Linked DNA regions of Rattus norvegicus. The protein of the gene in region 1 interacts with the protein of each later gene in a biochemical or structural test. Links are inferred from orthologs where the notes say so. Each region holds a gene or a part of one and is shown in the gene's direction. Other genes may lie near its edges.

Region 1 (9,443 bases):
AGGGGCAGAAATGACTCAGAGAAAGCCGCATCACTGAAGATCATCCCAGGATGGGTGGGCGCTCGTGAAAACTGGAAACACAGAGTTTGTTATTAAAATGTAAGGTAGCGCAGTGGGCTGGAGAGTATCCTTTCCAGGGAGTTCAGCTGGTCCGAGTCCGTTCCAGGCAGCTGGTCTGGTCTCTGTTTCTCCCAAGTAGCTTGGCTGGTCTGAGCCTGTTTTAGGCAACTTTGCTTCTCTGATAGTGTCTCTCTACAGTCTTTACACCCATGTATGCTTGGGGAAGGAGAGATCTACTGGATCATGGAGTTTCAGGGACTTCTTGAAGCCTTCGAATTGTTTACTTCTGGTGTTAAAGACCTTCTCTGTGACAGAATGCCTCACTTCCCCTTAAAACATCCTGTTATTTCACAAGACTCCCATGTCTTATGGAGTGCTCCTCCAAGATGGGATGTTCTAACCTCAGAGGAAACGCATTTTCCCTTATATCACTTTCATTTGTGGGTCAATGCCTAGAACTTAAAATCTGGCATAGGAACCCGCTGGAACAGACGTAGAGAGATTACGAAGTGAATTTTGTATTTAGACAGGCATATACTTAGCTAAATATTGCATCTCTGTCACTGTCAAAGAGTGGGAGGCTAAAATGACATTGACTGGCTAAATCAACTGGCAATCTCAGCTACAGAGACATTCCTGAGAGTTAAACAAGACAATCCAAGTTGTGAGAAACCCGAACACCTGCTGGGTTTAGAGCCATCACTCACCTGTTGCTGCCCTTGCTGCCATGAGATGGTGGTGAATACTTTGTAACCACATCTTGCTGGCCACTTCTCTTCTTTTAAAAGATACTTTGAGCTTCATCCATTATATCATTTCTTTAAAAATTTGGTTTGTTTGAGACAGAGTCATGCCACGGGTAGCCCAGGCTTCCCTTAAACTCATTATGTAGCCTAGAGTGGCTTCGGAGCTTGCACCAATCCTCCCTCATCATCCTCCAAAGATGAGTGCAGGTTTAAACCATTCTATCTGGCTTGTAAAGACACCTTTAAGCATGTCTTCCTAAACTAAAGCCGTATAAAGAGGGAAGCCCGGGAAAGGTGACTAGAGCGCGCAGTGATGGTTGTCTTGAGTGACACACGGGGATGGGCCGGAGGGTTGTCTGAGGATTCAACGCTTTAGATGCACGCTGTTGTCCAAGTCTGAGTTCATGTTTTCGGCAGTGGGACCACAGGTGCCTCTGGATTTATTAAGGAACTATGACTTAAGAAAAACAGAAATGCAGAGACCAATCCTCTAACAACCAACGTGAGCCATGAATCCAGGACGGCAACTGATACAATTCTATATACGTGTGGTGCTTCAATTGTCTTCATGTATGCTATATTACACGGTATTGATCTGCATGTCAATATAAATCCTAAATGTTTTTTTGTAACTAGATTCCCTACATCTTTGTAATGCTTTTCTGGGGCTCACGCCCGGACTTTTCACATGATAAGTGTATACGCTATTTCTGATCTACAACCCCAACCTGACTTCCACCTTTTGAAGTGCTTTTACACATCCTCAACAGCTTTTGCTTGAGCAGCTCACTACAGATGGCTGAGAGCCTGGTGTTAGACAAGCAGGACTCTGGGCTTTATTTTGTCCTTATAATATCTCTACAACGTGGGCAGAACAGATGCCATCGCTACTGTTTTTTTAGACAGGAAAGAAGGAACTGAGGGGGCAAGGGACTTTTGTAAGGTCACATGGCTACCCAGTGTTAGAATGGAAGGTTCTGGGTCTCTTGTAGTGTCTTTTCCTGTGGTTCGTCCTACCGGCCAGCTAGCCATGGGTTACTCATCCATACTGCTCCATGCCAGGTGCCCTGTCCTTTGGAGCTGTGCTCACATGAGTGTTCTTTTCTGGTGTGTGGTGTGGTGGTGGTGGTGGTGGTGGTGGTGGTGGTGGTGGTGGTGGTGTGTGTGTGTGTGTGTGTGTGTTGTGGTTGTCCTGTGTGCTCTCTAGCTTCATCTGGCTTTTGTAACTCCAGGAGAAACGCTTCACTGGGTCTCTGTGATCCATTATTCCTAAGACCTCAGGTCTAGGCATCTTCCCAGAATTCCCCTTACACAGGAAGGCTGCTCAGTGTCCGGAACAGGTCGCCACACAATGGGAACAGAACAAGGAACAAGGAAGCAAAGCTGGAGGGATGGTGGTGTTTAATCTTTCACGAGAACTGATGCTGTATGCTCTGTAAAGCGTTCTCGTGGACGCCATCACATTCAGTTTCTCCTCAGTCATAAATGGAAATGTTAGGATCTTTCTCATTTTCCCAGAGAGAGCTGCTAAGAATGGTTTGCTTAAGGTACCTGTTAGGGTCCAAGAATTGCTGAAGGAAGACCCCAGACTCAAATAGCATGCAAAGGCAAAGAGTGTTTATTCTGCAGAAATTACCAGCACGCAGGGGTCAACCATTCATGGAAATGGTGAGAACCTGAGGGGCTTGCAGGCCTCCTTTAATTCAGTGCTAGGGGACTTTTCCAGAAGGATTAGATAACCTCTAATAACCTCTACTATGAATGGTAGGGGCAAAGCAGTGACGTTAGTATACTTTTGACTGGCTGCTATGTTAGTTTCATTATATTTGATGAGACCTTGAATTCCAGAGACCAGCTCAGCTCTGGCCCCATTATCTCCTCTGGCCAGGTGTCCAGGAGATTGTCTCAGCTCTGGAGATATCCCCCCTAGTTCAGTTTGTCACTGACTAAATTGTCAGTGGCTCCTTTTGAGAAGCCCAGTATGCAACCCAGGGAATTGAAAATTTTTATTCCTGGTATTGGATGTTATACCTCTCACACCTTTTTAGGACAGCTGGATTCTGTTCATTTCTATTTTGTAGTTTCCCACTGTGCCTCACTGCCTCTGAATAGCTCAAAGAGACAGGTGACGGCCAATGCCAATGAGAAGTTCTGAAGACCCTCTGTGGGTACATGGGGCAACACAGAGCTGAGTGAGTCAGGATGGGAACTCCTTCCGCTGGAGCCAGTGAGGCCTTCCACCTCCTCATCTCCAGATTCCTTTCCCTGTTCCTGCATCTCCATAGCCTCAAGCAGTGTCGTTGAAACCGGGACTTGTCTAGCCTGTGTGCAATGTGGAAGGGATCTGTCCAGCTGCAGACTGAAGTGAGCTAATTTGCTTTCTATTCCCAGGCCTGTATCTGCCACACTGCTGACCCAACTACTGCATCTATCCATTCCCCTGGGTTAGCATTATCACCACAGGGGTAAGCCAGGAGCATGGAACCTAGTGCTGAAAAAAGTGCTTCTTGAAAGGGCACCAGTCGTCTCAGTTTTGCTGGATCTCAAGAGGGGAACTACTGTCCTTCACCTGTCCACCTCTGTCTTCCTTGGGACAAGCCTCTTCTGGAAATCTAAACAGGGAAAAGCAAATGAACCTTATTCTCCTGGGCTATGTCTCCAATGCCCTTTTCTACTTCTACTAGAACTAGGCTGCTACAGGAATAGTTATTGGTCATAGCCTCAGGGATGATTTCCTCAACCACCCAAGAACTATTCCCCTTGCCTTTCCCCTTGGTCTATAATCTCAATGAGTTTAGAACACAAAGGCATAGGTGTACCTCCCAGAGAGACATGAAGTTTATGGGTATTTTGAGACACAGTCTGCCTTTGTTGCTCAGGCTGACCCTCTGACACATCATCCTCCTGCTTCAACCTCCTGCAGATAACCCTGGATTACAGGCAGCTACAGTGCCTCATCCCTTTCCTATCTTGGGTCATGTTGGGTTTACATAAAAATATGTTCAAATGCATAATAACTAAATTGGTCATGATAACACAGCAATACAGTCTCAGAAAACCAGTAAGTCCATGAGGGAAAAAAAAGTAAAACTCACAAGTATATTAAGGAAATCCTTACTATTGCCTGACGCCTAATCTTAGGATGAATAGTCTCTGTAACCCCCGCCCCCCCTCTCCGCCCCCGGCTCCCCGCACTGCCCGGGTAGCCCCCACCCCCAGGGTCCACGTAGGAAGATTCTTATCAATTATCCGTTTCTTTCAAAATACACCGCCTCCTCAAATTCCCCGATGACCTGTCTTCTAGATCCAAGCAGTTGGAGAAGTGAGGGTTTTGTTTGAATTATCCAGCCTCTTTTCTTTTGCCCTCCTTCCCTTTCCCTCTGCCCGGCCCGGGTTAAGAACTAGGATTTCTTGGTGCTCTCTTCCTGACCGCTAGCTCGCACTCCCTATGCTCTCCCGCCACTGGACTTCCTCCCCTTTAAGGCCCACCCCTCCCCCAAGCCCACGCCTCTCCCAAGCCCCACCCTCGATCCTCCCCTTTAAGGACTAGCCCAGGACGCTGAGCAGCCTGTGACGCGGCCGCCGCCCCCGGGCTGGTACTTCTCGGCGCGGCGATTCCCCCGGCCGGGCCCCGCCGTCCCGCGTTCCCCGGAGCGCTCGTCTCCGGGGGGAGGGAGCAGGGCTGGTGGGCGCCCGCGGCGCACAGCGGGACCCACGGGGCCCCGCGACCCGCCGAGCCTGGAGCCGGGCCGGGGCGGGGCAGCCGGCTCCAGCCCGGAGCAAACTTCGCCGCCGGGCGGGGCGTGGCGGGGACCCGGGCCCGAGCCGGAGGAGGGGGCTGCCGCGGCCCCTTCCTCTGCGCGCGAGTCGCCGGGCACCATGCTGTCGGGCTCTCCGGGCCAGACTCCGCCGGCGCCGTTCCCCAGCCCGCCACCACCCGCCCCGGCCCAGCCGCCGCCGCCGTTCCCTCAGTTCCACGTCAAGTCGGGCCTGCAGATCCGAAAGAACGCCATCACCGACGACTACAAGGTCACCAGCCAAGTGCTTGGCCTGGGCATCAACGGGAAGGTGCTGCGGATCTTCGACAAGAGAACCCAGCAAAAATTCGCCCTAAAGGTAAGTCTGGGCCGCCCGGGATCGCGCTGGGATCCGGTGCAGCTTCCGGTCACCCCGCGAGTGGCCGGCACCCGAGAGGACTCACGGGGACTGCCATGTTGGGGTGTGAGTGGGATCCAGCCGGGAGGCCACGCTTGGGTCCGGGACGGCCTCTGATCGCTTCACCCGGAGCCGAGGACACGGTGGCCCCATCCTCCCTCCCTCCTTCCTTTCTGCGGGCACAAAAGGCCCTTTACTCATTGAGCTGGTTGGTCGGTCGGTTTGGAGAAGTTCGCTCTCTGAGGTTTCCTTAACCCTACTCCTTATTTGGGAGCCGGAATGTGACTTCGCTCTCTCCGGCCTCGCGAGGTCGGCGCGCAGCACTGGGGCGCGTCGGCGCGGCGCTGGAGACTGGGGACCCCGCCTCCGTGTCCCGCGATTGTCTGGAACCGCCAGCGCCTGGCCTGCGCTACCCCTTAGGCTGCGCCGCGCTGTTTCCATTGCTCCCTCCACCGTTGGAAGCCTTGTCTGTAAGCCAAGGCTTGGCCCAGTGCTGATAAACTGGTCCCTCGTAGCTGGAGACTCAAAGGCAGGAAAACACTATTCCTGCATTTGGGAAACCCACTCTTAATTTCTCTACGTCTGCCTGCCTCTGTTTCTGTCTGTGGTAGTGGAGAATGGGAATTTCAAAAGGTCTTAGTGAACCACCGGACTCTGTCATTCAGGGTCACTGCAAAGTTTTCTTCTCTCAAGGGTTTCAGGTTACACCGTATCTCTAAAGGTCACTTGTCAGGTTTCTTTCTCCCGAGGTGTCTCAATGATTGGAGGAGCAAACTACTTCCTGTGTTATATTTTTCTCTTCCCCCTCAGCCCACACAACTTGCTTTGTTCCAGCCCTTCTATAGTACAGATAGACTATAGTACAGATAGAGTTGAGACTGTTGTCATATGCGGGACCAAAACCTGGGACTTTGTATGTTTTTGCTGTTTTCATCTTCAGCATCACATTAAAAATGTTGCTTGGTGTGAATGCTGGGGAGGGACTCTTAACACGGCCCCAAATACTGAAGCGTTTGTACTTTTCACTTCTCTTTCCCTGTTAGTAAGTAAGTGAGGAAAGGAGTTGATTGGGTCGAACGGTGGCTCTGACCTTGGGGACTGGAGGCTAAGGAACAGTTTGACCACAGTTAACTGTATTGTTGAGGAAGTGACAGATGTTCTTTCCGGAAACATTTCTCTCTCTGCCGTGCCATCTGCCTTTACCCATCAGCAGACCGGGGACACTGGCTGTTCATTCTCTTGCTTAGCTGGAACACAGTCTAAAGACTTCACAACAATAACAGAAAAACCTGCTTTACCCTTTCCTATTCTGTTTGAATACACTGTCCTCTGAAGTGCTCTAGGCTGTCAATTCAGATTTCTGGTATAGTTAACGGAAGTTCGTGTACTTTTCTCCTTTGGATAGTTTTGAAAGGAAAAGAAGCTAGCAGCATATTAAACCATCCTCATGCTAACCCTTCTCTAGTCAGGGGTAGGTGAAGACTGTTTTGACAAGCAGCCCGCTCCCAGATCTTCAAGGCTGACTCAGATGGCAGATTGCAGATTTCCCGTACATCTTTGTGTTGAGATTTTGAGTAGAGGAAGAAAGGAGAGCCAAGATGTTTGGAGAGTGGCAGCCGTGTCAACAGCATTTTCATACCCAAATATTGGCTAAGACATAATCGCAGCCTTGAGGGAAATCTGGTTAAAAGAAATCCTCTTTCAGTGGCACGCACCACCACTGCCGCCGAGTCTTACGCTTTGAAAACTTTAGGTGCTGAGTAGTGAAATGATTTCAAAACAGTGGGGGCAGCACGGGGAGAGGAAACAGTGGAACAGGCTGGGTTGATGATCCCTTTGGGTACTGGGAAGAGACCTGTGCTCTATACAGTGTACTGAGTCCATGCCTAGGGACGTAGTGCCCAGCCTGGCTCTCATGGGGATTTAGAAGCCTGTCTTATAGCCCCGAGGAATGATGGGAAATGAAGGCTGCTCCTAGGTTCTGCTCTTTGTTCTATTAAGTGAAACCGGGGCTTAAAAAAAATAAAAACTAACCTAAGGATGGCCCAGCTGTGAGGAGCGTTTGCTGCTTTTGCAGAGGACTCAGGTGGGTAACACCTACCTGTGACTCTAGTTCCAGGGGCTCTGACATCTGAGCTCTTTCTGTCCTCTGTGCTCACCATTATGCACTTGAGACACACACACACACACACACACACACACATGCACACGCATGCACACACACACACATGCATATGCACGCACACACAAACGCATAACACCCCTACACATAAAATAAGAATAAATAAGTAAAGGAACCAGTTGGTCCTGCTACTTTTCTTTATTCTCTTGGGAAAGCCGATGTTTAGATGCTTCTGGTGGACGCTGTCACCTTGCTTGCCCGTCCCTGCTTGCTAGCCCCTAGTCATGCACACACTTCCAGTCAGTTCGAAGCGAGTTGAGAGGTCATCACCATCCAACACATTCATTTAGTTGATGAGAAAACCCAGGCCCAGAATGAAGACACAACTTGCTGAAGGCAAGTGGTGATTCCTGCCATTCCCTTGACCGAGGCGAGAACTGAACCCAGTTCCTCGGTTTCCTAGTCTCGGGCCCCTCTCGACTTGTAACTGCCGTGGTATTGACAGCGAGTGTCCGGTTGCTGCTTCAGAGTGCCTGGGGTGTGAGGAGCTGCTCTGACCCTTGAGTTTTGGATGCATAGCAGGTCTCCCCACCCCCATTAAGGAGTTTGTGATAGACATCTTATTTATTACTCTTTGGGGATTCTGTAATTTCTTTGGTAGGGACACCCAGTCTCAATCCGTCTGTGTATGAGCTGTCTCTCTTCCCCATGGGGCTACATGACTTTGTTCTGCCTCACTGTGTCATGGTGACGCTTAGGTATTAGCTGAGCAAATTTAATTAAAGCTGGTATTATTGTCCCACTCTGCTGTTCAGTGCCGATTAGGTGAAGCGTGTTATTGCTTTGCAAGATACGGAATGTTGTCATAACTTATCTCTGTTTATCTTTCCATTGCGCAGATAGGGAAGCAAGGTCCTGTAGTTTCTTTCCCCAGTGTGCCTCCCTCACTAGGTCAGTGACGTAGCTGCTTTTGGTAACACGATGGGGAGATTAGAACCTCTCACCATTGTCTGGGACATTGTTGAAGGGCAACACCAGCGCTCTCTCACTGCCTGGGCCCCACCTCTCCAGCAATGTCCTCATTCTGTGTCCTCACTGGAGAGATGGCCCGATAGTGTGGCTGGCAGGGGCAGTCTCAGTTTGACACCTGCTGGATGAAAACAGGAGGGGAGGATCGTGCCATCCAGTTTGGTTCCAGGGAGTCGACGGTTTGTGGAGCATTGACCACATGTTTATTAGGCTAGAGGACAGAGGCATTAATGCCCTATAAAATGTTGGGGGTCAAGAAACCTATTTGGAGTAGGCAAGATCAGTAAATGTAGTCTAGGGCAGCATTGTCAGGTATGGTGGCCATTCTTTGTACATAGCTGTTTATGTAAAAGTAGCCAATATGCAGGCATAAAACCAAATGGAAAATGCAGTTGCCAGCCACAGTTTGAGCACGCAGAAGCTTTTTGATTCTCACAGGAAAGACTACTGGACTTTGCTGTTCTGGGGGCTGCATCGCGTGACCAGGAATAGAGGTGTTCTGAAAGACAGGCGTCTGCGAGGGAGGGAAGCCTTGGCTAGTGGCAGTGGGAACTTGTTGGGCCCCTGAGGAATGAACGGACCTGCCAGAAGTCTTGAAACTGGCTGTGGCTAGAGCTGAGGGGAAGAGCAGGAGACCAAGTAGGTCAGGAGCAGTGGGGCTCGAGGACTGAATGTAACTTGTCTTGGGGTCAAATCAGCTTTAAAGTGGTTTTTTTTTCTTTTTTGTTTGTTTTGCTTTTTGGGGAGAAGGGGGCAGGGCTTGTGGATTTTCTAAAGAAAGGCTAGGTGGCATTGAGGTTGGGGGTTTGTACATTTTTGGACAGAAAGGTTGAATTTCTGCCTTCAGAGAATATTTCTTTTGGAAGATGACAGCAGACATGTTATCCCGGCGTGATCCTGACCTTTCTACTAAAGCAGGACTCTGGGTCTCTCTTGATGCAGGATTAGAAATGGGTTAGTTAATATCCAACGGTCCTTTTTCATTTGAATTTTGGACTTTTCACGGAATCTGAAATCTCTAGTTAAAGTTATGGTTAGGTGGCTAAAAGTCGGGGGAGTTAGGGAGAAAAACCATCATGGGCCTCTCTCTCTGGGCCTCATATTGGTGTAGGGTCTGGGAAACATGGTGTTCTCTTTTTTTGGGGGGGAAGATGAATAGTTTTGAGGTGCCACAGCAGACCTGCTTTGCTCTCCCTGGTTGTTTGTGTGGAACATCGGTGTTCACTGGCCTGCCTCTTCTCTGTGTCACACCCTCCTAAGGGTCATGTTGAGGTCTCAGTCCCCCCCCCCCCCATCCACCATGTTTTTGTGGCTCCATACCTTGGATGGAG
Region 2 (9,602 bases), on another chromosome or scaffold:
GTATATCAAAGATCAACTTTATTGTATTAAAAAGTAAAACAGCCATAAGAAGGACCAGGCGCTATCAAACTCAAAACTACTCAAGGAAACACACATTCCATGGGCACACAGCAGGAGGAGACATTGTGTTGGCTGAGGTCGGCCTGCAGCCAAGAATGTTTTCCATAGGAAGTGATGTTTGAGCTACAAAACAATGATTACAAACTTTCTTGGGCATAATCTTGGCACCTGGTTTGGAGTTCAAAGGGCATCCATCCCCAGCTATAAATTGAGTTTGAGGCCAGTCTGGGCTACATGAAACTATCTCAAAAATGAAAAAAAAATTAGCCAAGTGTGGTGGTACAAGCTTTTAATTCCAACACTTGGAAGGCAGGGGCAGGAGTGTCTCTGAGTTTGAGGCAGCCTGGTTTATACAGTAAGTTCCAAAACAACCAGACCTACAAGGAGAGACCCAGTCTTAAAACAAGACAAGACAAAACAAAAAACCCTTGGGCCCGTGACTTCAGACATGATTTGCATGTGCAAAGGCACAGGGGTAGGAGGAAGATGACTTATTTTCCCTTAAATAAGAGCACAAAGAATGCCCTGGGGGTGTGGAAGTAATAGTGAAAGTCAAGGGCTGTGGTTTAAGAAGAGGGGTTTGTTCTCCTTAGGCCCAGGCAAGAGGGTACAGCCAAGGGAAGAGTTTCCAACTACTCCTGAGGGATCTGAAACAATTAACCTAAGAATGGAGGTTTAAATACCCCATTAAGGTCCCAGCGAGGATCAGGGTTGGACTCTCAGTAGTCTAGGAGATAGCCTTGTATCTTCACCTCTTAAGGACTCAAACCCAGGGCAAATGCTTCATTTACAGTAGGATCTGGACTGCCCTGTCCTTGGGGTCATTGCCTGGTTCTGGAGGATGTGACAGCTCAATGATACTAAGTGCTCTGAGGGGCTTAGGACTTAAACACATAGGAGACTGGTTTCTACCCCTATTCGAAGACTCCCATGCCTACTGTTTGCATTTGTAGTAATAATCAGAATATTCAGAAAGGTTACACAACAGGTTCTCGTGACACATTCCTAGCCCACCTGACTCTTCCCAGGCTCCCCTGAATACACAAATTTGAGGCCAGCCTAGGCAACATAGCAAGACCTCGTGTCAATAATAAATAAAAATAAATCACAGCTAGAAGACAGAACCAACACTTGAATCCCCAACTGCTCAGTGCCAGTTCCTTGGGTCCATCCTTAGAGGATCTGAATCACTGTGCCTGGGGTCCACAATCCAGACAGGTAACCCAGGTAACTTCAGGGCTTCACTGGGCCAGTTCTTTTTACCTTTAACACAGGGAAATCGAGGCCACCCCCAGGGCTCAAGTAGCAAGGACTGGGAAAGATCAGATTTCAATCCGAAGCCTTTGGGAGATTTCGCAAATGACCGGGAGCCTAGGAGGAAACGCAACCCCTCTAGGCTCTCAGAGGCGTCGCCTGGCGCCACTGACCGGTTCCGCCTTCTGGGGGCAGGCGACCCCGCGCCGCAAGCTCCCCCTCAGCAAGGTCAACTGGTTCGGCTCGGGTTTGGCGGACTCACACAGTCTCCTCACCTCCGGACTTCCCGAGGACTTTCACTTTCTCGGGTCTCAAAACCTCGCGGCCCCGCCCCCACCCCCAAAATACCTGCGCGGCCGGGGACGCGCGAACCGGAAGTCGGCGACAGCGGCGCCCCCCGGGCGGAAGCGGCGGCGCAGGTGAAGGCGGCGGCCTGTGCGGCCCGGCGCATGGGAGGCCTGGGCTCGAGTCTCTGGAGCCTCGCGGCTTGGCTCAGGCTGGCTGGGTACCTGCGGCCTACCTGCGGGTCTCCGGCCTCTGCGCGGGCCTTGTGTCCTAGACGCAGGGTTAGCGAAGGGTTAAGGAGTGCTCCCTCCCCCCACCTCCCTGGAAAGTCCCCTAAATGACGTTGCAACCCGACAATTAGAAAAAAGAGTTTAATTATAGAGACGGGCTCTGGGAGCAGGAACAAACCCGGGCGGTCGGCGGGGCGGGTAAACAACCCGGGAGCGCGCCGCCCGCGGAGCCCGCGCCCCGGGAAGCGGGGGAGGGGAGGCCCAAGGGAGCTGGGAAGGGGTAGGAAATTCGAGGAATCGCCTTTCTTCTTTGAGAGAGAGAGAGAGAAAAAAAAAGAAAAACAACAAAATTACTTAGGCAGTTCGGAGTGTCCAAGCCCGCTCCGCCGCCCCAGGGACAGCACCACCGGGCGAGGTCGCCCCTCCCCGGTCAGAGTCTCCCGCAGCTGAGCTCCGCAAACACTCGGGAGTTTAGACCAGCCGGGCGGGTCGTGCGGAATGAAAAGCCGAAATAGCTTCACATCAGGACTCAGTCTAACCTTGTGGTTTTAACGCACCCTGTTCTGTCCCGAAATCTGGAACTCATTACCTCATCACCGAGAAACGGCACGAAATCCGCGCGCACACATCAACCCCCTTGGAACTGGGGAGGGGACCGAGCAAACATCCCTTTAAAAAGAAACCTACAAACCCGAATGATTTAAATTAAGGTGGATGGAAGTTATTTCCCTTCTTGCCGCTTGCCAGATTTCAAGAAAAGATGAAAAATGGGAGCGGGGGAGGGAAGCAACCGGCGGCTGGACAGCAGCAGCACCAAAACCCAGGGGCAGCAGCCGTGTTAAAAATGGGGGAGCCATCAATTCAAGTCACTGGAGACGAATCAAGCAGAGACTCCGCGGGGAATTAATGTTAGGCTCGTGGGCTGCAGCAAAAGTCGTGTTTCGCAAAGTTAAAAGAAAAAAAACTTGTTTCTAAAACAGTTGTGATTTGGATGGTTTCCCTGGGTTTGCCCAGAAGCTGGCGATAAATAAAGTTTTGTTTTTTTTTTTAAAGTGTGCGTGTGTGTAAGGGGTGGTGCGCCTCGAACGCTCCGCTCCGCCCGCTCCGTCCTTTCCAGAGAAACGTACTTGTAATGGGGTGACCTAATTACATCGCAATGGAACTCGCTCGTAGCCACTCGGCTCACCGGGTTTCATAACAGACCCGGCGGCCTCGAATGCTGGGAAGAAACGTGCGAGGCCTGGGCGGCGCGGCCCGCGATTTCCGCCCGGGTCTCCACTGCAGCACGCGAGCCTGTGCCGGTGGGAGGCAGCCAAACCTAATAGTAAATAAACACATAGTTCGCGGTTTTAAAGGGCGGTATAATTCATTGAAGGCCATTGGGTTCCGTGGGTCTTATTGCTTGGCACCCCCAAACAGGGCATAGTGACAAGCCATATGTTCCGTTCGCGTGGGGGCGGGAGAGCAGCAAGAAGTTAAAAGTGTCGCTTCCCCCACCTCTACCTTCCTTCTTACCAAAGTAACTTCTTTCCCCTTGTTTTTAACATTCGGGGATGTGTGGAGGAGGTAGCCCGAATTCAAAGCGCGCGCGGAAAGTGACTTGTTGCTCTTTTATTTTCAAGGGGCGCCCATGAAAATCTGGATTTTTCTGTAGTAGCAAGTTTAAAGATCGGTTGTGTGAACGAGACGCCCCAACTAGGTCTGTCTAAAAGAATTCTGCCCAGGCAGTGGTCTAGTCCACGGTGCCCCCACCCTACCGGGCCAGCGCAGGCTGCGGGCCAGCACGCGTGTACACGAGCGCTGCGCGCAAAATCCTGCTGCTCTCGCCCCCGCCAGGCTGGGCTCTCCGGGAGGAAAAGTTTCTCTGGTCACCCCTACTTCTCTTTCCCATTGGTGGGAAACAACAAACATAAAACTCTTGACTCGAACATTTGGGGTGCTCCGCATTCCTAAACTCCTCTCCCGGCTCGTTTTGCGATGGGTAGCCGGGTGTGGACAGGGAAGTCAGGAGACGGTAAGTCGTGCGGGAACTTGGAGAAGTTTCAAGGGACACTAGCTCAAGATGGAAACCGCAGCCCTGGCCCGCTCGGGACCAGCTTCAGCTCCTGCTAGAGAAAAAAAGAGTAAGAGAGGAGAGGAGAGAAAGGGGGGTTGGGGGAAGAGAGTCGAGCCCGCCTTCCAACCCTTAAAAAAAAAAAAAAAATCAACAAACACAACAACCAGAACTCAGAAGGGGGTGGAATGAGTGATGTCACAGAGCCGAGCAGCGAGGCTGACAAAGGGTGGGCCCCCCTCCCCCTCTGCCCGGCTCGGCCCAGGGGAGGGGCGCCCCCAGAGCCCGGGAGCGGAGCCCGCGGACTCGAAACTTTTCCTCTTTAAGAAAAAAAAGTTTTGCGCCGCTCCGAGTGCTTTTTTTTTTTTTCCGCCTTCTTTCCTCGTCTCCCTCCCCCTTCTTCCTTTTGAAAGTTTCTTTCCTCCCTCCCTCCCCCTCCCTCCCTCTTGACCGCATGGCTGATTCAACCTCGGTGTCAATCAACTTTTTTTCCACCTCCTCTTCTTCATTTAAATAAGTTTAAAGCTCCTCCTTCCACCCTCCCAACCCTCATATCTTATAAATTGGGCTTTGCTCGCCGCAGCCCGGGAGAGTCAGAAAGGCGAGGGGCGCCGGGAGCAGGCGTGTGGGACTCCTGACCGGAGAGCCGGAGGCTGCGCCTTCCCCGCACCGGGACCTTCACGACACAACAGATCCTAGTCCTTGCCCCGTGCGAACGCCCACGATGACCACCACCCTCGTGTCCGCCACCATTTTCGACTTGAGCGAAGTTTTATGCAAGGTAAAGTAGGGCGGAGCGTTGGCTTTTTGAAAGTTTCTCTTGGGCTTAAAGAAACTAAAAGTTTGGGTCTGGGGAAACAGCGTAGAGGGAGTGAAGGACTCATTGCTTGTGTTTCCCTCCATGGTGAAGGAATTTGGTCATGTCGTCCTCACTCCCAAGTTTCAGGTCCCAGGTGAAGTTCTATATGAATTCGGGGAGCAAAGTTCTGGGCGACTGCTCCAGTTTGCGGGGCAAGGAAGTGCGGAACAGTGGTTAGGATTGGGACAAATTTTGAAGGGTTCTTTTCTGCATGGTGCACCGCTGGAGCTGGGGTAAGCGGATGGGTTCGGCTTCACGGTGTGCACTCTGGGTTTTCTGTGCCCGCTGGAGGTGTTCGAGGTTACTCAACACCTTTTGCTAGCCTGTGGCGTAGGGGTCTCTAGGAAAAACCAAGACTTAGGGCGGTATGTGACTGGGAGAATTTTCTTGTCTGCTTTGGGAGGCTAATAGGTAATGCGGCGAAGAAAAAAGACCAACTTAAGGTTCAAAAAGATGTAGGCAAAGTGACTCTGTAGTGGAGTTTGTCCGCCCCAGCTGAACTAGGCTTCCTCCGCGAGAGCTGGTCGATCATGCTGCAAACTTTGGGCTGAAAGTGTTTGCTTACCTGTGTGTGAGGCACTACGGTTCGTTGACTAAGGAATAGGGGAACAAAATGCTGCCAGACCTCAAGTTCCCGCCAGTTAGGATTTAAGAGGGCCAAAATGGGGTAGTTTGCCAGTCAGGTTTTCGGAAAGCAAAACAAAACACAAACTTTTAAAACCGTAATGTTCCAAGAGTGCGGTTGAAATGTTCAACTCTGTGGATGTTGTTAATTTTTTACCCACTCTACATCCCCCAACCCCCCAATTTGAAAGGCTGAAGCTGCTAGGCTACTTTTAATTGCTGAACTGTTTTTGCCTTCCCTTAAACACGTCGGGTCATGTTGCTCTCTTCCTAGCTTGCTGCTCCTGTCGATGCAGCTGCCAAGGCCCCAGGGCTGCAGGGTTGGGGTGCAGGGCCTTGCCGGAGCAGTAGAGCAACATCAAAACTTTGCATTTTCGGCTTCTTTCCCTCCCTGCGTTTTTCCAAGTCTGTTTGCCCCGGCGGCTGCCTGAGCTAGGCAACTCCATCCTTCTCGTCCCTGCTGCCCGCTCTTTGATCTATTTCTCTTTCTTTTGCCCCCTCCCCCCGCAGGACTTTTTAAATGAACCTCATTGTTGGGAACCGGCTCTCCTCTGGGTTCCTGTAATCCGCTCGGTGGGGTGGTTGCGGTTACAGGGTTACCGATTCCCGATCCCCTGCTGCTGATCCTAAGGGACTAACTTTAGAATTTGCACAATGACACACACCCACATGTGTCAGGGGCCTGGAGATAACTTTCAAGTTTCCTACCCCCACTCTTTCTAAATCTTAGGTCGTTTGAGCAGGTGACTAGGGTTTGTCCTGTCCCTGCTCACCTCCCCCCACCCCTTCAACACACACAATTGACTGAGTCGTGGAGTGTGTGTGTGCTGGTACGTTCTCATCTGCACTTTGGTTCAAGATTAAACACTGGAGCTCTTATCCAGACCTCTCTTGCAGCCAGGAGACCAAGTGCAAAGGCATCTTTCCAGTGAAAGGGGGTGGGGAATGCTGGGAGTTGTCCCTCCCAGGGTCTGGGGTACCCTTCCTGAAGCTTGGGGGCCATGCATTTGTGTTTTCAGACACCATATAGCCTTCTCCCCACATCCCAGACTAGGCCCTTCTGAAAGGAAGGAAAAAGTGCAGTTTGAAGACCTGTTGCCAAAGGAAGGGTACATTTGTGGAAGAGGAAATGGAGTGTGGGGCTAGATTTTATGTGTGTGGGGGTGGGGGGAGGGGATGGCGGGTAAGCAGGGACTGATTGAGAGAGGATTTGGCTCTGGTGCTTAGTCTTCTAAACTTCTAAACCTGGTTTACCTGATTCTGTTAGGGGAAGAAAAGTTAGAGGGGACTGTCTTGTGTGAAAGATTCTGAGTTAAGGAATGTTTGAACCAGGGCCTGGATTTTCGAGTGAAAAAATTGGCTTTGGGGGTCAAGCTGCGTATCGGGTCAGCATGGAGCAGGTTGAATACGTAACTTTTTTTCTTCCACACAGGGCAGGGTTTTGTAGTTTCTTATGAGCAGTGCCAAAATAAACCCCAGGTGGCTCCTTTTAGAGAGACAGGCCTATCAGATGAAAGGTGCTGTCCTTTGTGGACACCATGCCCTGACCTCGTGGATGTCCTCAGTCACTCACCGGTCCTTTTCTCCCCCCTCCCTCCAGGGTAACAAGATGCTCAACTACAGCACTCCCAGTGCTGGGGGCTGCCTGCTGGACAGGAAGGCAGTGGGCACCCCTGCTGGCGGGGGCTTCCCTCGGAGGCACTCGGTCACTCTGCCCAGCTCCAAGTTCCATCAGAACCAGCTTCTCAGCAGTCTTAAGGGTGAGCCGGCCCCGACCCTGAGCTCACGCGACAGCCGCTTTCGAGACCGCTCTTTCTCCGAAGGGGGCGAGCGGCTGCTGCCCACTCAGAAGCAGCCTGGGAGCGGCCAGGTCAACTCCAGCCGCTACAAAACGGAGCTGTGCCGCCCCTTCGAAGAAAACGGTGCCTGTAAGTACGGGGACAAGTGCCAGTTCGCGCACGGCATCCACGAGCTCCGCAGCCTGACCCGCCACCCCAAGTACAAGACGGAGCTGTGCCGCACCTTCCACACCATCGGCTTTTGCCCTTATGGGCCCCGCTGCCACTTCATTCACAACGCCGAGGAGCGACGCGCCCTGGCGGGGGGCCGGGACCTCTCCGCTGACCGTCCCCGCCTCCAGCATAGCTTTAGCTTTGCTGGGTTTCCCAGTGCCGCTGCCACCGCCGCTGCCACGGGGCTGCTGGACAGCCCCACGTCCATCACCCCACCCCCCATCCTGAGCGCCGATGACCTCTTGGGCTCACCTACCCTGCCCGATGGCACCAATAACCCCTTCGCCTTTTCCAGCCAGGAGCTGGCGAGCCTCTTTGCTCCTAGCATGGGGCTGCCCGGGGGAGGCTCCCCCACCACCTTCCTCTTCCGGCCTATGTCCGAATCCCCTCACATGTTTGACTCTCCCCCCAGCCCTCAGGATTCTCTCTCGGACCATGAGGGCTACCTGAGCAGCTCCAGCAGCAGCCACAGTGGCTCAGACTCCCCTACCTTGGACAACTCAAGACGCCTGCCCATTTTCAGCAGACTCTCCATCTCAGATGACTAAGCCAGGGTAGGGAGGGACCCCCTGCCTCCTTCACCTCTCCACCCTGCACCCCATCCCATACCTTCACCTCCCCACCCCCTAACTTTCCTTCAAACCCTACATTCATACATTTAAGCTCAACCCCTTTCCCAGAACCTTGGTATGTTACCCTTCCCCCAACATAAGGACAAGTCAATTTGTTGGTAGCTTCTGGCTTGAAAACCCCCTCCCTCCATTTCATAGCCCACTTAACCACGCATAACAGAGTCCCATCTTTGTCAGTAGATGCCTTTTTTTTCGGCTTAAGCCTTAAGTGCCAAATCACAAAAGAAAAAAAGCAGTAACCGTTTACAGAAGCAACTTAGTGCCTTGTAATCTAACTTTGTCACTGTGACTACATTACCTCTTCAACGCCAGGGGGCACCCGTGGGCCTCCCAGAGCCTCTGCCCGTGGGGTTTGGGGGCGGGGGAGCGGTGACCCGCAACCAGCAGCTCCCTCAGCTGGCCACACAAGTGCACCTTCCTTTCAGTCTCCCGCACATTCTTCCTCTTCCTTGTAGATACTTGCCTCCCTCAGAGAATTGTTGCTGGACTTGGGGGGGGGCGGGGGTTTGGGTGGGTGGGGACCTATTTTGACATTCAAAACCTTTTTTTTTCCCAGCTCGAACCCCTGTTGACTAATCTTGCCTGGGTTTGTGTAGGTCTCCAGGGACAAAGGTTGAACAAGTTGGACGAAGGTTTTGACATAAGTGGGACTTTGTGATTTAATTTCTTTTTTTTCTTTTTCTTTCTTTTTTTTTTTAAGTGGGGAGGAAGGGGAAACTAGATGGACTATGAGAGACTTGATTTTGGTGCTAAAGTTCCCCAATTCATATGTGACATCTTAAAAATGACAACAAATGAGAGAAAAGCTAAAAAAAAAAAAAAAAAAAAAAAGAAGAAAACCATGTAAGGGGTGAGCAGTAATGGTATTCATTCCACATACAATATCTGTGTAAAACAATTTCCTGTAGACGTAGCTTTAATGGATTTTGCTCTAGAATACCTTAGGTCTACCTTAGAGCCCTCACGCCATGCTTTTGTCCCTGGGTTTAAACTTCATCTAACTTTCAGAAATTGGAGAGCAAAAATGTTGCTTTATCACTGCACATCAATATAAAAAAGCTTATTTAACTTATCAAGACGTATTTATTGCCAAACTATGCTTTTTTTTTGTTAATTTTGTTCATATTTATCGGGATGACAAATCCATAGAATATATTCTTTTATGTTAAATTATGATCTTCATATTAATCTTAAAATTTTGTGACGTGTCTTTCCTTTTTTTTTTCCACAGTTTTAATATATTATTCTTCAACAACATTTTTGTAACTTTACACTTTTTTTTGGTTATTTTATTTTAAAAAAATGAAAAATTAATTTAAAAAAAATGCAAAAAACTGTTGGATTATTTATTTTAGAAATTCTCCCCTTTGTGTTGGACTGCAAATTGAGTTTCTTTCTCCTTAGGCCTTTCACAGGTAGGACTGAGAATGTATAAGTTCTGTGACAGTACAGAAGGAAAACCACCATTTATGTATAGCTTCTAAAAGGGAAAACAAAAAAAAAAAGAGAGAGAGAGAAAAACCCTTTGAATTCCATGTGCCCATCTCAAGACATTCCGCTTGCAGATTTGAGGTTCTGGACTCCAGGTTGGAG
Region 3 (9,580 bases), on another chromosome or scaffold:
GAGCTATGTCCCAAAGGGATGCATCAAATTCACCATGGGTCTTGTCACTTGAGCACCCAACATACATCTCCTTGACTAGAAATAGTTCAGGGAATTAGCAATCTTGTATATAACTGAAAAGAGACTGATCCTGTCCAAGGCAGAGCATGACCAGGGGCTCACTGTATATTGTCTGGAGTAAGGTAGTCTGTGGTTCAAGAAGACAAGTACAGCTGACCCCTCAGTGATGTCATCTTACCACATGAGGGGAGGTGTGGCACCCGGGATACAAGGCCTAACTGCTTAAAACCACACTCTTTGCTACAACATGGGGCAACAGGTGTGTCTTCCACACACCCACACCGTTAGAAGATAATTGGCAGTTTACAATCATTCAAAAACATGGCAGCTTTGGAGTTGCTGGTTCCAGAGATGGACAAGATACAACATGGTACTTAATCCTGCAGTTCCAGCATCAGGGAGGACCTATACAAGTTGTGAAGTCAGATGGCCACATAGGGAGATCCTGTCTCCAAAGAGGAAAAGGGGCATGGGTGTCTAGGCCATTGAGGTGGCTCAATGGGTAACCACACTTGCTACCAAGCCAGGTGACCTAAGTTCAATCCCTCAGGCTTGCATGTTGGAAGGAGAGAACTGACTCACCTAAGTTGTCCTCTGACTGCCACACACATTTTTAAAAGGAGTTTGTTGGCCTACATTCATCATTTGAGAGCCTGAGGCAAGAGTATGGTTTGAGACCAGCCTGAACAACAATGAGCTGTCTGTGTCAAAGAAACTCTTACTGGGCTGGTGAGAGCAGATTTGAAGGAAAGGGAATTAGGTCTTTGGGATGCACCCTCAGCAAAATTGAAGGAAATGCAGAACACAGGCCAGCCCCTGGCAGGAAGAGTGAAGAGGCTTGGGCTAGATTCAGGGAGCACAGGGGAGAAAGCCCAGATGGACCATGAAGGTCCTTGCTAAGATTTGCCTTCTCCCAGCCTTATAGGCACAGGGGAGGTTGTGGGGGCCTGTACAAAACCCCACCCCAGGGACTATGTGTATGAGATGGAAACCACAGCCAAAGTAATCTCAGCTCTTGAGAAGTAGGCTTGCCGCAAGTTCGAGGCTAACTTGCTTCACCTATCTACAGGCTGCTTGCCCCCAAAGAAAAAGACCAACTTTGGGCACATGCCCCACCTCCAGCAGAGATTAGCACATTGGCCATCCTCCCACACACATGGACCCTGCTCCATGACCAAGTACCACAAACACTAAAGCAACCATCTAACCACGTGACTACCCAACCCTGTAACCACCATTTAACCCACTATCTCTCACCCCATCAAGACTTTGCCCATCACAGGCTGACTCAGCTCTGTGGCAGAGCAGCCTCATTCACTGGGGACAGATAAGATTGGCTCAGACACTCAGCATCTAGGTGCGGGTGTGTGCAAGTCTGTTCTGCCCACAGAAGCAGACACAGGAGCGCCACACAATCAGTAAGCCGCAGCACTCCCCATCACGCGCCTGCAGCTACGTCAAGCACCAAAGTTCACTGGTTTCACTGCCTTATGACTGGTCCACAGAGGAACTATGCCCAGACTCAGGTCTACCACATTGTCAGGAACAGGCAACCTCCAAGACAGCCACAAATAAGGGCACAGACCCACAAATAACATTTGTACACACAGTATAACAGCGCTGAGTGAGCCACAGAATCCCCACATACTCTACTTCAAGGTCCTATGTGTACAATCCCAGCACCCAGACACCTGCTAGGAATGGCACACTTAGCACAGATCCCACGGTGGCTCAATTACACACAGATAGGTGGGGGTGGGGTGGAAGTTGCAGTTCCCATGAAGTCCATTCAAAGACAGCTGCAGTAGTTAGTTGACAATTCTCCAGAGGCCACTTGCAGCACATGTGGAGAAGTCAGTGACACAGACAGGTGGCTTCACATTTATTTACAGAACCCTGTTCTATGGAAAACTTAAGCATCAGTCACAGGCACGTCCCCGCACCTGCGCCCTCAATTACATAACTAGGAGCTCCCCACACAACACATGCAGAGCAAGCACAGCTCCCAATCCCCTGGGCACACTACAGTTGGCATACTGGTTGTCCCCTCTGGAACACCCTGCCTGGACCACACTCACAGGCAATCACGACGGGCACACACGTGCCGCGTGTACACGGCCCCAGCCCGCCCACTGGCTCTCACACCCCCGCGTTTCCCGTCCCTGCTTGTTTTTCTGGAAACTCAGCTCTGAGTTCACCTCCCCCTAGGCCGGAAGTGCTTGCTATATTTTTAGCTTCTCTGGTTTCCGCCCCTTTCTCTACCCCAGCCCCCAACCCCAGAGTGCACAGGACGTGGCTGCGTGTCCCGCGAGACCTTAGCCGTCCCCTTCCCCACCGTCATTCCAGAGGGGATTCCCGCCACTGCCTGGGCCGCGGATTTTCCCCGCTGGCTACGTGGGGAGCAGGGAGGAGTCAGGCCATGAACTTCCTCCTGGGATTGGGGCACACAAACGGGAACTGGACAAAACTCGGGACTCCTAGATCCAGAGAACAGGGGCTGGGGCCTAGATCTCTTAAGTCGGTGGGACTTGGACCCCTAGGTCTTAGGGAGTAAGGCGGGGGGTGGGGGGTGGGATGGGTTCTAAAGGAGAATAAGTAGGGCCTGGATTCTTGGTGCTGAATAAGGTGATCTGTGTGTCTGGACAAGCAAAGGAACAAGGGTTGAGCGCCAAGACACCCGATGTGGGGCAGGAAAGAGCTGAGTACCTGACCCCATATTTTAGATAATGACGTCTCACTTTGAGTCCTACAGCTTAAAGTCTTGATTTTCAGAGGGGTTGTTATGCTTACACCCCTCCTCTATCTCCCACCCCAGCAGTGTAGCCCAATACCAGGCTGCCAGACTTTAGTCCCAATGACTCAGCAGATAGAGGAGGGGTCAGGCTGAGTCAGGGATGGCAAAAGGCTCCCAGTCTCCAGGGAATCGAAACTGGAATTACTCCTCCATGATCCAGTCCCAGCTGGCCTCCGAAAACCCCCGGCATGCCCCACCCCAACCCTTTCTTTTTGCGTTTGGTCCTAAAATTGGCTGGCTCAGGGATTTGTAAACTGGGCGGGAGGCAAGTTCTTGTGCCCCTCCTTCCCTTCTTTTCCCGTTGTCCTCGAGACTGTTTACAACAGACTGGAACCCTGGTTACAAGAGAGGAACCCAAGCGTCCGGGCTGAGCGTCCTCGTCACGGCTTCCAGGAAGCCCCCTTCCCCCGCCCTAAGCGAGTGAGTCACGGGCAAGCGGGAGGCCGCAACCGTGCCACAGCAGCCTACGGCCCGCCCTGCTCACGGGACCAGCCCAGGAAGGCCCCTTGGCCCCAGAAAGCGCTGCACCAGGGATTCCCCACATACACACACGCGCGCGCGCGCGCGCACACACACACACACATACACACATACACACACACACACACACACACATACACACACACACACCCCTCTCCTATGAGGCAAGCCAGTGAGAAGCCTGGCAGAATCTCCCTATCTCGATACAAGTGCGCAACGCACCGTGCTAGAACTTCCCGGCATTGTAATTACACTCCTGGCAATGATAACCCCCATACACAAGAACAGTTTTTCACTGGAGATATCTTTGAAATAACACTTTTTACTTGGGTGTGGCAGCTATTTCTGTAATCCTAACACTACTTGGGTGGTGGAGACTGGAGGATCGCGAGTTCCAGGCCTGCTAAGGAGACCCGACCTAAAAACAAAACCCTTACAGACCTCGAGAGAGTTTAAAGTTTGCTTAAAGACTGCTTGCACTACAAGAAACCCATTCAACGTTGAAGGTGGCCCATATTTTTAATAGAGGCGAGCTTCCTCCCTAATAAAAGACTCAAGCTGTTACAGCCTTGAGCTTCGGAAGCAAAACCTCTTAATTTAAAGTGCAGCTTGGGTAAATGGGCTCTGTCCAGCCTTGCTAGACTTGGAAGGGCGCTGCTGAGCGAAGTAAAGTTCTGAGCGGTCCCTACCTGAGCCAACTGTCTTACAGGTTCTGTGCCTTCAGGTTTTAGTTTTTATTTCAACTTCCCTTTTCATCCTTCTGTAACCGGCTTCCTCACTGAGATTTGTGTCCCAGGCCCCTCTCCCTATTGTCTCCCCACTCCGTATAGGTCAGAACCAGGATCACAACCATATGCCAGTCTTTTGTTTCATGTGTATTCCTGGCTGTCCTGGAACTCGCTCTGTAAACCAGGCTGGCCTCGAACTCACAGAGATCCCTCTGCTTCTTCCTCCCAAGTGCTGAGATTAAAAGTTTGAGCCAACATCTGGGGCCTTTTTACTTTTTAAGACAAGAGTCTCACTAAGTTACCTAGGCTGCCCTAGAACCCACAATACAGTCGAGCCAGGCCTTGAAGTCCCAGACTCCTGCCTCAGCCTCCCCAAGTGACTGGAATCACAATCCCAAACCAGCGGGTCCAGTGTGAATGTCTCTCACTGTCTCTTTGTTTTTCTCTCAGCTTCTGGCCATCTCTGTCTCTACCAGCTTGTTTCTCCCCGCCCCCGTCTGTCTCACACGCACACGCCCTCTCAGTCTCTGCCCTTGTCAATTGTCCCTAGAGCCCTGCCCCCACTTCTGCCCCAGTTCTCTTCCCGACTACCTTCAACCTCTGAAAACTAGTCAGACGCCCCACTCCCATCACCACCAAATCTGTGGTACACAGCCCTCCCCACTAACCTCGTGGGAGAGGGCTGTGGGAGAGCCAAGTTCAGGCACATTGTGCATGCTAACCAGCAGATGGGCGGAAGGGGCCTAGTACCAGGCCGGCCGGGCTACGCCGCGGGGGCGCGTCCGGGAAGCTCTCGTGGCCACGCCCCCGGGCCGCCCCATAAAAGGCGAAAGCTCCTGCGGCGGTCCCACAGCCTGACTTCTGCGAACCGACTGTCGGTCTCTTCTCCATGGCCATTCGCGCCACCATGGATCTCTCTGCCATCTACGAGGTGAGTACTGGTTAGACAGCACTCTCGGATCCTCGACGCACCAAACTTAGGCCCCGGACGCCTCCATTCCTTCTCAGACTAGCCCTAACTGGCTGGAAGTGAGAGAGGGAGCCCGTGAGCCCGGCGCCTCGGTCTAGATACCGGCGATCCCCTGGGGACGGAAAGCTGGCGCACTGCTGTCACTCGCGCAGGGCGGAAGCGGCCCCACACCTGTCTAGTACCCTTCGCTGTCCATGGCGCGGTTTGGCGGCCAGGCAGGTGTTGAAGTTGAGCGGGGAGTTGACCCGGTCAGAGTCCTAGAGAGATCTGGCCTCCTGGGTCAGCTTTGGCCGGCTTCTCTAAGTTGTGAAACGAGCGCCCGATGGGCGGTCTTATCCGGGGAGGTCTAAAGGCCCAAAATTGGCGAGCAGCCGTGGTGCTTTGATTTGGGGGTACCCTCTCTCGATCCATCGGGGATACTGGGCTCCCTAGATCCTTCTGGATTAGCTTCAGTCATTTGTTAACACCCAAACCTCTGTAGTCAGGTTCTCCCTGAAATTTGTGAGCCGGGTGGGGCTCAGGCTGAGAACCCACAAACCGGAATGACAAGCTCGTGAAGTGCTTTACCACAGGGGCGGGGCGTCGTCACCTTACCTTTTCTGGTGGCCTAACCGAACCCTATTCTCCTTAGAGCCTTATGTCGATGAGCCATGACCTGTCACCCGACCACGGAGGAACTGAGTCCTCCGGAGGACTTTGGAACATAAACTCATCGGACTCCATCCCATCTGGGGTCACCTCTCGCCTGACTGGCCGCTCCACTAGCCTGGTGGAGGGCCGAAGCTGCAGCTGGGTACCCCCACCCCCTGGTTTCGCACCCTTGGCTCCCCGCCCGGGCCCTGAGCTGTCACCCTCACCTACTTCGCCTACTGCAACTCCCACCACCTCCTCTCGATACAAGACTGAGCTCTGTCGGACCTACTCAGAGAGCGGGCGTTGTCGCTATGGGGCCAAGTGCCAGTTTGCCCACGGCCCGGGTGAACTGCGCCAAGCCAATCGCCACCCCAAGTACAAAACGGAACTCTGCCACAAGTTCTACCTCCAGGGCCGCTGCCCCTACGGCTCTCGATGCCACTTCATCCACAACCCTACCGAGGACCTGGCTCTCCCTGGCCAGCCCCATGTGCTCCGACAAAGCATCAGCTTCTCAGGCTTGCCTTCAGGCCGCAGAACCTCACCACCACCTCCAGGCTTCTCTGGCCCTTCCCTGTCCTCTTGCTCCTTTTCGCCTTCCAGCTCCCCACCACCGCCTGGGGACCTTCCACTTTCCCCTTCTGCCTTCTCTGCTGCCCCTGGGACCCCTGTGTCTCGAAGAGACCCTACCCCAGCCTGTTGTCCCTCCTGCCGAAGGTCTACTACCCCTAGCACCATCTGGGGGCCCTTGGGTGGTCTGGCTCGGAGCCCATCTGCACACTCTCTGGGATCCGACCCTGATGATTACGCCAGCAGCGGCAGCAGCCTGGGTGGGTCAGACTCGCCTGTCTTTGAGGCCGGGGTGTTTGGGCCTCCTCAGCCCCCTGCACCCCCAAGGCGTCTTCCCATCTTCAATCGCATCTCTGTCTCTGAGTGACAAGTGCCTGCCCAGTGTGGATCAGCTAGATCTCAAAGAAGAGGGAGGGAACTGCTCGTTGCTGTGGGGACCTGGGGGGACTCCTCTAAGTCCCTCCTCCTGGACATTCCAAGTTGCATTAACCCATTCCCCTGGTGCTGGGCTAGGGCAGGTCCCTAGTTTGCAAATTCAGTGTTTGGGTGGATCCGTTCCTAGGGTACCTGAGATGTAGCATGTTTGAGGGGTACAGTTGACAGTTGATCTTCCAGGTCTCAAGTCTTATGTTGTTTCTGAGATAGGGGATTATTACGGTACCCCAGGCTGGCTTTGAACTCAATATAATCCTGCCTTAGCCTTTTCCAAGTTCTGGGGTTACAGGTATGCACCAGCCCCTCGGAAACTCTGGTCTCCTGGAATCTTAAGTGCTGTGAAGAGCCGGCTCCCACAATACTATCCTAATTTTTACTAGACCCCGAAGTTCAGTGTCCGGTGGTTGTAGCCTCTCCTGAGAATCCTGGTGCTCAAATTTCCCTCCCAAAGCAAATAGCCAAAGCCATTGCCAAATCCCTTTTCCCCCACGCCCCTGCCCCAACCAATGGACCCTTTATTTATGACGACTTTATTTATTGTAATAAGATTTTATAGTATTTATATATATTGGGTCGTCTACTCCGTTTTTCTTTTTGTAATGTTAAAACTGATACTGTATTAAGTATATACTATAATATATTAAGTAATATATTGTTACCGTACAAGTCTATTTTTGTGGGTTTTTTTGGAATTTTTAAATAAAATCTTGAGTGTGAACTGTGATGAAATTTGTTTTTTTCCGTGGTCCACAGCCTTGTGATGGTGGGTAAACTGACCTCCAGACCTTCCTGTGAGCACTGCTGCCGGGGGGGGGGGGGGGGGGGGGGGGCGCTTACCTGGCAGGAAGTGACGTTAGCCCGGTTGTTCACCTGAGGAGGCGTGGCGGGATGAGGTCACCCAAAAGGAACAAGGAGAGCTAGTTCTCTTGGCTAAGGGGTGCTCCAGGCCTGTCCCTCCGGCTCTTGACCCAGCTCGGGCAGGGACAGGATGTTTCCGTCCCCACAGGGCCAAGGAAGGAGGGAGGGGTGGGGCGGGGCGGCGAGGACGGAATGTGCCGGAAGGCGAGCCCGGGCGGCCAGGGTCAGGGGTCACCCCAAAGCCGGCCCCTAGGGGACTCTGAACCCCGCGTAGACAGCCTGGGCGAGCTTGACAGAGGACTTATTTTAGTTTAACTTTTTTTTTTTTTTTTAAATAAGGTCGACCCTGGCTCACACTGATCTGAACTCTCTGCAACCTCCTGCCTCAGCCTCTGAAATGCTAGGATAACAAGCGCAGGTCACCATGCCCAATTTTATCGTTTTAACGTGTAGTGTGTTAGTCAGGAATCGGGTCTCTTCCACAAAGTTGGTTGGTCTCGGGATCGAACTAGGTTTTATAACTTAGTAGCAAGCGCCTTTATATTTGCTGAGCCCTCTCAGCCGATTCTTTATGGATTTTGGTTTTTTTGGAGGGCAGGGTGGGGAAGAAGGGAAGGCTGGGTTTCCCTCTGAACCCTGAGCAACTCCTGGCAATCCTCCTGCCTCAACCTTATGAATGTTTAGGATTATAGATATGAACCCTCCCGATTTGGAGCAGGGGCTTTAAAGAAGTGTGAAAATTCTAGGCTCCATTTGGAATCTCGGGCCCCGACACCAGGCAACTTGAGTGTCTCCAGACACCTAAAGAATCTTGGCCTTCTAGCATCTACAGACCCTGATCGGGCATTTCCGGAACTTCGTCTGGTTCAGCTCTCGGGGCGCAGGGGTAGGGCAGCCTCGTCGTCCGACCATACAAGGAAAAAGGCCGAGACCGCAGCCAGCCTAGGCTGGGCGGGCCGCACCCGGAAGCTGCCCGCGTCAGGGCCCGCGCCCCGCCCCTCTTCGTTTTCCTCCCCTTCCTCCCCTCCTCTCAGCCTCCTCCCTCTCATCCTTCCTCTTTTCTTCTCCCCAACTCCTCCCACCTATTGCTGTAGCTCCTCCCCGTTACCCCCTCTGTCTCATAGCCCCTAGGACTTTTGTTCCGTTTGTTTTTTAAGATGGTCTCCCTGTATGGTAGTCCTTCCTGCTAGGCCCTTTGCTTCCTCCCTTAACAGTATACCCGTAACCTGTGTGTCTTTCACTCCATTCTACTGACCTTTGGTCTCCTCTCGCAGGAAACTGCCTCCCTTGTGAGAAAGAGCTCAGGCCCTGGTATGTAGAACAGGGTTGGGAGAGGGGAACAGAAACCCAGAAGTCCCCGAGGCACCAGGTAGGTAGAGGTAAGCAGCACTGGACATTGAGAGGAAGAAATGGATGGGCACTAGAAGAAAGGGATACACAGCTACCACCCCTGGCACTGGTCCCCTCAGAAAGTTTCTTGTTCTTTTGAGGAAGTAGCAAAGTACAGAGTACTTGTTCAACATCTGCCAAACCCTGGTGTATGACCTCTCCAGTCCTGGACAGATGGCTCAGAGGTTGAGAATGAACCTGCTTCTTTTGCAAAGGATCCACATGACGGCTGACAACTCCAATTCCAGAGGATCCAGAGCCCTCTCCTGGCCTCTGGACACTAGGCATGCTATGACACGAGCCCCTTAGACCTGCTTTAAAGACACAGCCAAGTCTACAAATCACTCCAGCTTCTAGGGCCCTCTCATCAAAAGCCCACTTGCTAGTACCCAGTTCTAAAAGTACCTATTCTCTCGTTCCTCCCTGTAGTCAGTTGCTCTGGGAAACTTGTTAGGACACTAGAGTTCAAAATCCTCACTACTGGGCTGGAGAGATGGCTCAGTGGTTAAGAGCACTGACTGCTCTTCCAGAGGTCCTGAGTTCAAATCCCAGCAACCACATGGTGGCTCACAACCATCTGTAATGGGGTCTGATGCCCTCTTCTGGTGTGTCTGAAGACAGCTACAGTGTATATAATAAATAAATAAATCTTTAAAAAAAAAA

Evidence for each region.
Region 2: of the proteins of Mapkapk2 (region 1) and Zfp36l1, one has a biochemical effect on the other in vitro, tested with the Homo sapiens proteins (2 studies listed by BioGRID). The link is inferred for Rattus norvegicus from reciprocal best matches to the Homo sapiens genes MAPKAPK2 and ZFP36L1.
Region 3: of the proteins of Mapkapk2 (region 1) and Zfp36, one has a biochemical effect on the other in vitro, tested with the Homo sapiens proteins (2 studies listed by BioGRID). The link is inferred for Rattus norvegicus from reciprocal best matches to the Homo sapiens genes MAPKAPK2 and ZFP36.

What each region holds. Positions count from the first base shown.
Region 1 is NC_086031.1:45,107,268-45,116,710, reverse strand, and holds the start of Mapkapk2 (MAP kinase-activated protein kinase 2), read left to right. Parts: upstream 1-4,384; 5' UTR 4,385-4,685; coding exon 4,686-4,922; intron 4,923-4,935; exon of another isoform or gene 4,936-9,443. UniProt on the Homo sapiens protein: Stress-activated serine/threonine-protein kinase involved in cytokine production, endocytosis, reorganization of the cytoskeleton, cell migration, cell cycle control, chromatin remodeling, DNA damage response and transcriptional regulation.
Region 2 is NC_086024.1:104,663,582-104,673,183, reverse strand, and holds Zfp36l1 (mRNA decay activator protein ZFP36L1), read left to right. Parts: upstream 1-4,493; 5' UTR 4,494-4,606; coding exon 4,607-4,663; intron 4,664-6,965; coding exon 6,966-7,925; 3' UTR 7,926-9,536; downstream 9,537-9,602. UniProt on the Homo sapiens protein: Zinc-finger RNA-binding protein that destabilizes several cytoplasmic AU-rich element (ARE)-containing mRNA transcripts by promoting their poly(A) tail removal or deadenylation, and hence provide a mechanism for attenuating protein synthesis.
Region 3 is NC_086019.1:92,794,440-92,804,019, reverse strand, and holds Zfp36 (mRNA decay activator protein ZFP36), read left to right. Parts: upstream 1-4,911; 5' UTR 4,912-4,951; coding exon 4,952-4,993; intron 4,994-5,663; coding exon 5,664-6,602; 3' UTR 6,603-7,392; downstream 7,393-9,580. UniProt on the Homo sapiens protein: Zinc-finger RNA-binding protein that destabilizes several cytoplasmic AU-rich element (ARE)-containing mRNA transcripts by promoting their poly(A) tail removal or deadenylation, and hence provide a mechanism for attenuating protein synthesis.